Linked DNA regions of Coturnix japonica. The protein of the gene in region 2 interacts with the protein of the main gene of each other region in a pairwise test. Links are inferred from orthologs where the notes say so. Each region holds a gene or a part of one and is shown on either strand. Other genes may lie near its edges.

The links.
Region 1: the proteins of KHDRBS3 (region 2) and INPP5D interact in binary tests that used the Homo sapiens proteins (3 or more experiments, as listed by UniProt). The two-hybrid records come from large-scale screens. The link is inferred for Coturnix japonica from reciprocal best matches to the Homo sapiens genes KHDRBS3 and INPP5D.
Region 3: the proteins of KHDRBS3 (region 2) and BAHD1 interact in binary tests that used the Homo sapiens proteins (3 or more experiments, as listed by UniProt). The two-hybrid records come from large-scale screens. The link is inferred for Coturnix japonica from reciprocal best matches to the Homo sapiens genes KHDRBS3 and BAHD1.

What each region holds. Positions count from the first base shown.
Region 1 is NC_029524.1:1,941,894-1,945,541, forward strand, and holds part of INPP5D (phosphatidylinositol 3,4,5-trisphosphate 5-phosphatase 1), read right to left. Parts: intron 2,785-3,648; coding exon 2,697-2,784; intron 2,038-2,696; coding exon 1,957-2,037; intron 1,781-1,956; coding exon 1,709-1,780; intron 1,450-1,708; coding exon 1,326-1,449; intron 234-1,325; coding exon 127-233; intron 1-126. UniProt on the Homo sapiens protein: Phosphatidylinositol (PtdIns) phosphatase that specifically hydrolyzes the 5-phosphate of phosphatidylinositol-3,4,5-trisphosphate (PtdIns(3,4,5)P3) to produce PtdIns(3,4)P2, thereby negatively regulating the PI3K (phosphoinositide 3-kinase) pathways.
Region 2 is NC_029517.1:129,023,593-129,027,240, forward strand, and holds part of KHDRBS3 (KH domain-containing, RNA-binding, signal transduction-associated protein 3), read left to right. Parts: intron 1-2,238; coding exon 2,239-2,355; intron 2,356-3,648. UniProt on the Homo sapiens protein: RNA-binding protein that plays a role in the regulation of alternative splicing and influences mRNA splice site selection and exon inclusion. Binds preferentially to the 5'-[AU]UAAA-3' motif in vitro.
Region 3 is NC_029520.1:867,688-871,985, reverse strand, and holds the start of BAHD1 (bromo adjacent homology domain-containing 1 protein), read right to left. Parts: upstream 2,854-4,298; 5' UTR 977-2,853; coding exon 967-976; intron 601-966; coding exon 1-600.

The DNA.
Region 1 (3,648 bases), on a different chromosome or scaffold from region 2:
TTTTTGCCAAGCCAATTACATCCTTCAGCAGTTTCTTTTACTGATAAAGAATGCCCTTTGTACCTTCCCCTCCCTACCCCCCTAGACCTGATCCAGGCTGGCAAGAAAGAAACACAGTGTATTTACCTTGGAATCAGAAAAAACATATTCCTTCCGCTGTGTTTTTTCTTTTTCTGTTTCCAGCACGATGACCAATTTGGTCGGGACCTTCTGAGACTTGATAAGCTGCAAGACTAAACAGAGACTGGGTGGCATGAGCTGTGATCGCTGAAGCTAGAATCCCACCAAAACTAAGACTCAGACCCAGACTTGGGACTTACATGGTCTTTTATGTGTAGGGCTGACTTTGTCCTGCCTAACTCCACTTTAATGTTGCTTAACCCTATTCCCTATAGGAACAGACCTTGCCCTTGAAGCAGAGGCACCAGATTCCTCCTGCCTGGAGCTCTCATCCATACTGAGCCCTGTAGATCTGATGTGATGCCTTGCCTTCCTGCAGACAATCTCTCTTCCTACTTATATTCTTTCTCCATCTGGCAATGAGGAGGTAGAATCCCATCTGATGGTAAAGGTGAATAATCCCCATCTAAAATAGCAACTAGGTAATTATGAACACGAGCTAGAGAAAACCGCACATGAAAGCTAATCTTTTCAGTCACTGCCAGCAACAGAGAGATTTTATACAGAGGAGAGAGCCCAAGGGCATAGTTTTCTGTTTGATAAATCCTACTGGTTTTGGCAATGCCGTTCAGGGAAGAGTGGGGTATGACGAAAAAAAATCAATAGGAATCTTCAAAGAGCTGTCTGCCTAGAAACATCAGAGGCAAAGGGAAGTTGTTTGACTTGGGCCTTCACAGGCCAAACTCGTATTGCTCATTGGTAAAGTTATTGATTCATATATAAAAACAACAATCAAGGGAAGCGTCACTGTGCTGTGGTACTGAGACTGAGTATCTGGCTTTCTACCATCAAAAATCATCACAGGAGTCAACACATTCATACAGCGTGTTTCTTTTCAGCAATACTGCTTTTTGGTAGAAAACTGTTCTATCACAACCAGCTCTACGGGTAATCAATAGCCCATCAAAACCTGCTCTTGCTGTCTTCTTTTGGACCAGGAGGCCAGGCAGATTGCCCTTAAAAACAGTCTGTGAAAGCTGGTTAAGCCAGTATTGAGTCCCTGCTGTCTGCAGGATGGGCAGCCTGGTGTGCCTGGGGCTCACACAGCACCCAGGGCCAGGCAGACATTCCTATCTTCTCACCCATCCTCCATCATCCATGGGACCGAGCATCTGGTCCCACATTTGTGACCTTAAGTATCTTACTTTTCTTATGAGTATAAAATTTGTCTTCTGGGCCATCCTTAGCTCTCTTGATAATCAGTTTTCCCATTTCCACGTCAACCTTGAGATGTATTTTTGAGAAAATTCCCAGAGAATCGGCTTTCACCTATCAGAAAACAGAGATATCTGTCAAAAGCAATGCTGTGCACTCCAGTCACATGTATTACAAAATGCTACATTTGCCTGAATTCATAGACAAGCACATCATTATGCCAATCCCACCTGTTATCTCTTAAGCATTCACATGGCACAAATAGGAATATCTGCGTTATCTCTGAAGCAGCATGGTACAGAACTGAGAGACTGATATAAATCCACATGATTGCCTCTCTGCCTTCTGGTCAGCATTGTTAAAGAATGTTTACCTCAAAAGTCACAGGGGGGATGAGGGAACGGCGGTGTGTTGAATCAGGACCTTCGATCAACAGTGTTTTCACCTGGAAAAGAACCTGTGTGTACTGAGTTGTGCACTACCCCGAGAGTAAGAAACTCAGCAGAGGAATCTTACTGTGGCAGAGGATGGCACTGATGATGAGCCAGAGACACATAGGACATGTAAATAGAGGCAACAGATGACATGAAAATAGTGTAAAATAGCTCTGAAAACTCTTACCTTTTCCTCAATGGAAGACAGCAATGAGATCAGCTGATTGAGTTTCAGTACAATATTGACTGGACTGGCTTCACCAAGCATCTGATAACCACAACACAGAAACAAAAAGAGAGGGATGTATAATTACCAAACCCACAGAGCATCACCTGGAAGACTCTCATCTGTAATGAGCAGCATGAAAGCAGTGCATTTGGCTGAACATCCAGATGTATGGCAGGACTGAAGGGCAAATCTGCAAACCTAATCTATAGGCTACAAGTATGGAAATGCAAGGGAGTCAGCTGGGAGACTGGTTTGCATGACCAGGTGCAGGGCTCAGTCCTGGACTTCTGTATTTCTGGGCCACTGGTGAGGAGAGCAGAGTCACAGGACTTAGGTGGGGTTTGGGTATGATTGATCTGGCAGTCAAACACCGTGGAGTGCAGTGTATGGAAAGATAAAGGTGCAGTCATAGCCCACAGACTGAGGGAGGATATGGGGACAGAAGTCCTCAGGCAGTTAGCTGCATTTTCCTCTGGGGCAGGAAGGTAGAGGAGACTATGGAGTAAAGCGAAACTGTGGGGTGTAACTCACTGTGTGCCCTCTGCATTGCAGCCATCATGAGGCTACAGATAACACAGGCTGTAACTCATCACCTGCAACCCACCAAAGCGTTGCTGGGAAATCAGAGCCCTCCCTTTCCCTGTGGGGCAAATGCCTGTACGCCTCTGTTCTCATCTCCCAGCTTCCAGCCAGCTTACCTGTGAGCGCTGATGGATGCCAGGGTGCAGCTGCTGCTCAAACACCTTCTGGATGGACTCCAGAGATGGGAGGGTCCGCGAGGCTTCACTGGGAACAGAGAGGTGGCAGAGGCCAAAGGCTGCGGTCAGGTCTCCAGCTCAGTTAGCACCAGCTTCTTTGCACAGAACAGCACAGGCACACACACGCTCACACCAGGGCTGCTCTCAGCAGCTGCCAGACTCCTGTCCCCCCAGCTCACTGCCTGCTCCACCGGTGGGATGGGTGATGAGTGCCTTTCTCAGCTGCCCCAGTGATACTGCCCATAAAGGCCAATTGGACTGAGGCATTCAACTCTGCCTTGCCATAGCAGGGTGTGGGCCATTCCTCTGGTTTAACTGCAGAGATAGAAACTTCTCACATCTCTGTGGGAAGATGTCCCAGTCTGGGCCAAACCAGAGGACAACCAGCATCCTACACAAGAACATCAAATGATATTTCCACTCCAAAACCCCAAAGCCCAGCACAGTTTGGAGCCCATGGATGTCCCAGCAGTAGAAGCTTGGTGTAGCAGGGTCCTTGCAGAGGACACTGGCAAAGAGGAAACTAATTTTTTTCATATTTTTCAGCTCACGTGACACAGAGAGGCCGGGCACAGGAACCTCTCATGGGTTACAGTGAGATTCCTCCAGCATTTCCCAGCTGCATCCCACAGGATGCTCGTTTGACAAAGTGCTGTTGTATGAACTTGGCACAGGAGCTGCGGTCCGATCGTGACAAGACTTATCACGGAAAGAGCACGCAGGGAGTGCAGGTCAAAAGGAAGGGGATGGTGGGAGCAGTGCTGGGATGCCTTCACCAGGCCCAGTCAACTGTGGATATTAATGATTTCCCTCACTTTCCTAAGTCTGCATAGACCGGATTTTACTCCGTGTTTGTTGGGGAAAGTGCTCCAAAGTGAAAGTACATCTGCCT
Region 2 (3,648 bases):
TTCCATTACATGAAGGTTTCCATTTGCATTTAACTGTAAAGGCCCTGATCATTAGTAGTGATCACTTATTTAAGAAAATGACAAGGCATTTCTGACTTGAAAGTTACTGTGTTTGGATTTTCTTTTTCTTTAATGTTTTTAGTTTTTTAATTTTTTATTTTTTTAAAGAAATTATTGAAACTAGTTTGAGTGTTTTCATTGCAGTTACACCCTTGTAATCATAAAGTCAAAAGTCTGTGTAGAAAGGGAATTCTGTGACAGCTCTGGTACAACCTCCTGATGACCTTGTGAACGTTCTCAGCATGGCAGAATTCTATTCCTTTGGGCAACCTGTTTCCAATCTGTTTTCCTTGACAGTATATAAAAAAAACCTGTAAGCAATAAAATGAGGCATCACAGTAGAGTTAAAGTGTCACATTAGTATTTTTTGAGATTTGATCTGCTAGTTTCAGAAAAGGCTAGTTCATGAAAGGCCTTATTCAATAGCTTGTGTGGACCAGTCATCCATAGCCATACATTCAGTCGTATCTTGTTTCTAAGTCAGGAATTGACCTTGCATGTACTAAAGAGAGAAGAATTAAGTTTTCATTTTTAATAGGCTTTTTTTATTGCTTGCATTTCTTTTTTGTCTCAGATTGAAGTAGGTGAACTGGAGCTGTAGACTTTCTTCATTGTAGGAGAACCTGAGCTGGACTTCTTTTTCCATCAGCACTTCCATTGTAGCAACAATAGAGTTTGTTAGAGCTGCTACTGCCCCATTGTCAACTGCTATTGGATTCGTCTAGCCCAGCAGGGAGATCAAATGAGCCCTCTAATGATAGGGGGCTCTAATGAGCTCTCCATTGTGGCCCTCTAATCATGCAGTACTAGAGGAAGAGACAAGTGAAGAACAGTTGCATGAATGAGGCCAGAAAAACAAGTAGTCCAAAGGTATTTGTTTTATAGTGTTGTTGTTTATCACTTATGCCTAAAATTCTGTTACCGTAAATGGGTTGCCTTAGACTGTAACAGTTTATGGATATCATGGTTTTATAAAGCTTTGCAGGGTATAGTAAATATACCTGAACAGTAATCTCCAAATTTATGTATTATTTACAATAGAATGAATTAATGCTTTTGGTATGTGCTGTTCCATACAAATTTCAAAGTGTATCTCATGTTTACAGGCCCATTTTAGTATGAAAATAAATATATAAATAGTGTCTGTTTACTTAAAATTATCCTTAAAATCTTCTCTAACCATCCTTCAGATTTCATGTAACTTCCAAAATGCAACATGTAGATGTACAAAAGTGACCTATTGAATTTACGTACCTTTTCTCTCAGTAGGCATCTGGGAATATATGTGCTGTGCAGATTTCTCATGCCACCTGGCTCCATTGAACCCAATTTTGTATACTTAAATAAAAGCAGACATTTTCTTTTTTATTATTTCTCTGCTCTAGGTGGGTTGTAGAATTTGTGTTTTTGACTTATCTTCCCTCTGAATCACATTCTGGGCTGATAGAGCACCAGGTATTCACAGTAGCCTGTTTTTATGCTTTGTGTTTGAGTTTTAACCGAGTAATATTGTTCCTTTGTATTTGTAGTGCATCACTACCTTCTCCTTAGTTACTTTAATAGTGTTTTGCCCTGGCTATGAACTGCAGCTGGTTTTGGTAAACTTCAGTGATAATAGAGGTTAGGAAACAGTTGAGAATGCCTTAAAGAATGTTCGTTTTGTTTTGAGACAGAAAACACAAGCATATAAATTTTGGATTTAATTCCCTGTTTGTTTCTGTGTTTTAGTGTAGGGTATATTATATGAGAGGCTATATTACTTCATAAATCTTACAGGCAGCATAAGGCAATTCAGATTTTTTCATTTTCAAAACTTTTTTTGGGTGCTACTGCATCTGTGAGGGATTGCTGCCAGCTTTGTTTTTATGGTTATATACCTGATAACAACTGTTGAAAAACTGAATTGCAGTTTGAGCACATCTGGTCTCAGCCTTGAATGTGTCATTTATCTATGCTGTTTGAAAGTTCTTTGAGTTCAGATACTTCTAGGTTTCAGTTGGCATCTGGTTTTCCCTAACATGCTGTTAACTGTCCTATACGTTTCTACTTAGTGACTGTCATTTATGATTAAGCACTTGCTGCTTTTTTGCACCCAGAACAAAAAGTTGTTTCAGCAAATTTTGCATGTTTCTGTGCTTAGAAATTGAGTGGTCATAATATCTTTTTGTTTTCTTACAGTTTAACTTTGTGGGAAAGCTTTTGGGTCCACGTGGCAATTCTTTAAAGCGCTTGCAGGAAGAAACGCTGACAAAGATGTCTATTTTGGGAAAAGGTTCTATGAGGGATAAGACAAAGGTAAGAGTTGATTATTTCAGTTGAGTGTTTAAGATACCTGAATTTCTTCCTAAAATTGTTGGAGAGACGAGCAAATCCTGTGACAAAAAAAATAAATTCAGGGAGGAAATAAAAAACATCAAATATACTTGTACTACTTGGACTCAGATGGAGTCTGTTGTCTGTAAGGAGCCTATTGTCACATTTGGCATTGAGGCTACTACAAGCTGCATGTATATTCCCAAAACAAGAGTTCCTGGGAAAGTAACTGGCATTAGCAGTGGCTCATTATAGATCAGTCTAATAGTGCTTGTAATGTATAGTGTCCACATCACAGTGTTTCCACCTTAGAAAGACTTCTGGATAATGTCAAAGAGTTTTCACAGAAAAAAACACTTATGTTTAATAACACTTGTTTTTATATGCAAAGAATAACAGGTGACGAAAGCAAATGAAGTACAAGAAGGAAAAAAAAAAACTAACAGCCCTGATTTAGGATGCTGGGTACAGGTTAAGCCAACATGCAATTGCAGTTGTTTTAATAGAGGATGTTTGGTTATCATGACAGTATCCATTACATGAAGCCCAAGCAGACATCAGAAATCTGTAGCTTAACATATATATGCATTTTTTGTGTTGTGATGTATTTGTTTGGGTGGTGAGACACTGAACAGGTTGTCCAGAGAGGTTGTGGATGGCCCATCCCTGAAGGCATTCAAGGCCAGGCTGGATGGGGCCGTGAGCAACCAGGACTAGTGGGAGGTGTCCCTGCCTACAAGAGGGGGATTGGAAGTAGGTGGTCTTAAAGGTCCCCCAAACCATTCTATGATCGTGTGATTCTAAGATTCTATAATCTGGCTCAAGCTTTAGCACACAAAGGCAATGTAAATCAGTAAGAAGACAATCACATCACCTGCCTAGTGAATTGCACGTTTTCACTGTTACAAATGAAAATAGTACTTGTCAATAGTATGCCATGATTTACTGGCCACCTTCTCTGGCTTATAATGTTCCCAAAAATATAAAACCACTCTGTGCTTTTCCTCCTGTATGAGAAAGAACAACAGTCTGCACTGAAGTTGAGCTTAGAATTTAATTACTGATTAACAACTTACTTATTAGGCTGGCAAGTTCTGAGATGTGACTAATGCATGTATTTCCTAGAAAATCATAGAATTCTAATTGAAACTTTAATGTGATGTTTAACAAAAAAAGCAATTACATCATTCTGTATGATATAATTCTTAAAATGTGGACAGAAGCTTTGTTTCATCCTGCAGATAGACTACACATCCTTTTCTATCTGACAGTAAT
Region 3 (4,298 bases), on a different chromosome or scaffold from region 2:
CCCTCCGAAAGCGCCTGCCAGACAACAAGCCATCGTCCCGCTCAAAGAGCAGATTGTTCACAGCCTCTGCATTCAGAGAGGCCAGCCTGCGTTTCCTGGGCTCTGAAGGAGCAGCATCAAGGTCTTCCTCTGTCCCTGGATAAGTTACTGTGCACTTTTCCCCAGCTGAATCACTCCTGCCCGCTCCCACAGGTTTAACTTGTTCAGCAAAAAAAGTGGGCCCCAACTCCTCCACCCAGCTGGGAAGGTCCTTTTTTTTGCAGCTCTGGGTCTCTTTGGACAGAGATCCAGCCACATCTTCCAGCCTGGTGAGAAGCACTTTACAGGTCTTTTTGTTCATTGAAGGGTGCAGACGTCTCCGCAGCGGGTACGTCTTTCGGACTTCCTGCAAATTCTTGCTTTTGCTTGTCCCCACAAACCCACTCAAACTGCTGGCAGCCTCAGCAGCATCCCCATCCCTTTGCTCGCCGCACTCCGCCTGTGTCCTGTCCATCCTCCTGTTGCCTGTGGGTGATGAAACCTGGCCAGCAGAACCAGCTGGATGCTTCAGAAGGAAAAGTTGTTTCTTCCGGGCATGCGTCATAGGATCAATGTCCAGTCCTGAGAACAAGCAGAAGAAAACACGCTGATTAATACAGACAAGAGGGACTCATCTCCTCACAACACGTCAAGTGTCAATTAGGAAATACTTGGGGAAACTTGTTGCGATACATGGTCAAGCCTTTTTGGGTGACAGCCAGTTAAGCCAATTAGGAGGCAGGATGCAGCGAGACGTGGGTTAATACTAAGCTACAGAACATGATAGCAATTAAAGGCGAGGTGACACAGGAACCAGGAAAACCAGGATATAGCCAGCTTTACCCAGCTCCCAGCCCAAGTGAGATCCCCACTAAAGCAATGCCAAAGAAAGGCAGACAAGCCCCAAGTGCTTTCATCCTGTATCAGTAGCAGAGGTTGGTTGCTCACCTTTCACCATGCCCTAGGCTTCCTGGCTATACAAAGAGCAGCATCTTACTGCTGAGTGGGCTTGGAGAAGCTGGCAAGCAATGCCAAAGGAACAGCTTCATCCCAGCAGTTTGTTTGGCCAGGTGCTGGCTTCAGCAAGAGACCTGTGGTTGGCTTATGTCAGATAACTGAGGGATGCTGCAGTCCAAAAGAACACACATTCACAGGTGAGTTTAAAGCTAAGAAGGGATACGGTAGGCAATATCTACAAACGTTTTAAAAAGAAAGCCTAATTGACTAGAGAAATCAATTTAATTAAGCCTGTGTCTGAGCAGAGGAAACAGCAGAAAAGGGCTATTTCTTGCATGTAATGGTATTTATGAAGCAGTCAGACTCCTGTTATTGGCAACAAAGTGCCAGCCTACGGATTAGCACCGATATAGGAGCAGTCTGATTCCCTCCACATCAAGTATCCAGCTGCAACACCTCTCAATTGACGCAATCAGCACAGGTCTGCTACTTCTGAGGCTGCTAATTAAAGCTACTGCATCTGTAGCGAAGAGAACAAAGCTACCAAATTACAAGAACCGTTCATTTGATATGGTTTAATCAAGCTGATAATTAGATTATCTATTTGAAATAGACCCACTGTGCTTTAACTGACTTGCTTACATACGCATTAACTAAAAGAAAACTAGGAATTGAAAGCTACCGTGGCCTGCACGTTATTCTGCAGATATTAGACTCTTTCCAAGGTGTCTCAAGGTAATGGAACCCTTACGTCCCATTACACAAGGGATAACTCCTATAGCTTATGTGCCTCAACTGCAGCACTCTGTGGGGAGCAAACGTTTATGCATATACCCATGTTGGTTCCGATCAGCAATACCAGTTCTGGAAATTAGGGTTATCAATTCAGACTGACAAGTTCCCTCAAAATCAGATTAATTCTTGCACAAGCTGACACGTTAAACACACACAACCTTTGGAGTTAGCATGAGAATTTCTATTTAAAGCATGCAAACCAAGGTCTGACAGTGGTAGACCAAGCATCCTACAGAACCATGCCCTAGGGAAGATAATATCTCCCATACAGGCCTGTGGTTCCTTTTACACCTCTGAACCTATTTTCTGTTGTCCCCAACAAAAGATGGAGCCCTCCAGCTGAGATGGGAGAAACCCAGAAGAAACAAGTAGGATTTGTCTTAAAAACCAGCATCAGTTACCTCTGTCTCCTGTAGTTCTCACCAACATCCTGTGAGCAGCAGTTACCTCCTGACTACCACTACTCACCTATCACATGCTGGGTTTTACAGCCCATCAGTGCTTGAATGAGGAAGAGACCTATTAAAAACTGAGTACTTGAGATATAACCTTGTTCATACCAGATATGCTCAAAAGATATAAAGAAGGCTGGGGCAGATTGAAGAAAGGGGATTTTTTCACCAACAAAGAGGAGAATCATTAACAGCAACAGCAAGAGTGATAGTCTTCCCTGTTTGACTCCATGGGGAGGGTAAAGACAAACAATAGCTTAAGTACCTTTCCTGGAATATAAGCATAGGAATGCTTTCTTTTACGGTACTCCACATGAATGTGGATTTTTAATACATACATTTCCTCCCACTGCAATAAAACCACCAAAGCCCAGAGGCAAGATCCGTATTCTGGTGCAGCACAGGTATCATTGTCTTGCATGTTGTGGCATATTTACAGGTAATACTCCACAACAGCTTTCATCACTGACAACTGCAGCTGGGAACGTGGAGCAAAACAATCGAGCTGAACTTGCAAAGATGACATTAGAGATAGTCAAAATCACACCAAAGGGGGAAAAGCACCAAGATTCAACACAGTTCATTTTAGAGAGTCTCAGTTGCATGAGCTTTTGACACAAGACTAATCAAGCAATCACAGGCTTTTATTAATTACTTGTCAGTAAAATGAGGATATGTCTGCATGGATCTCCTTGTTGCCTGGTCTTCAGGTTCTCCCCCTCTCTCAGAGCTCAGCTGCTAGAACACTATAAAGCACTTCTCTGCAAAGGAAGAACTAAACATCTGAGAATTTGTGCTGTATTGGCTTCATACATCTCCCTCCCCCCCCACACACACACACCTCATTCCCCCCCCAGCCCCCCTCCCAGAAGCCAACTGCAGCATTTTAGATGTTAGATGTGATCCTTAACATCTCTTACAGAGAAAGACTCTCGACTTTTCTCTGAAAGCACTCTCAGCCCTGAGGATCTGCTGCATTTCTCATCTCCCTGTGTTCATATACAGGTACAGAAAGAGCCACTATGAGCTTTCTGCTGGAGCGCTGCAGTGATGCCACTACAAGTTTTGGATGCTGTATACAGAGACAGGCAAGAAGACAAACAACATGAATTAAGTGCTGATTTAGTTATGAGCATGCATTCAGAAATAGGCACCAAGCAGTCTTACCAGCTTGCTCCCCTTACCTGGAGTCCATTAACTCCTCTTTCCCCAGCATAACACACAAGCAGAGCTTCCAAATGCTGCTTGAAACTTCAGTAGCCTATGATGCTTTAGAAATCAGTCACACAGAGCTCACCAAGACCAGCTACTCGCTTTCAGCTGGGAAGGAAGCGTCAGGGCTCCTCTGGTCACCTTTGTAGGGCTTCACAAAGCAAGGAGGAAAAACTAACTATTCCCAGAAAAGAAATCCCAACATAATCTGAAGAACTGAAAATGAAAATACTTACGGCAGAACCACCCATCTCCTGCGTGCAACAAATGGGAGGTGAGGAAACACTGACAGCTTACTTAAGAAGTGGAATGACTTTGACAAGGCAGCTTGGCCTAACCCTCAGCATTCCAAACCCACTGAGCATTCTCATAGATGAAGTCGCTATCCCCCCTTCCTCAAACTGGATCAGTTTGAAGGAATTATACTGAGAGCTGCAGACCACATCGGACAGAGGAAATTCAAACAGAAATGCACTGGTCTAATTTTGTGCTGTAGTAAAAGCGCTCCCAAGTCTTCAGAGAGCTGCTGCTTCTTTGCCTGCTAATGAGGCAAGTGTCTTAACAGCTGCATTTTCTGTAATCATGCAGCTGCAGCATCTGTCTCTCCATCACTTGATTGCAAGTGAAATTAAAAGACACCAGTCTGGGACTACCCATTCAAGTACCACTTCCCTTCCTAAGCTTCACTATGGAGATGCGCTGGTTCCAAGGAGATGATGCCAAAAAGAACAGAAACGTAAAGCTTTTCAAGCTTCTAATTCATGTGGCACTTCAATAACAAACAAAGAGTTACAACGACATGAATCTTCCTCTCCATGTGCAGCATTGTTTTGCTGACTTCCAGTCCTTGTGCACTGGAAGATG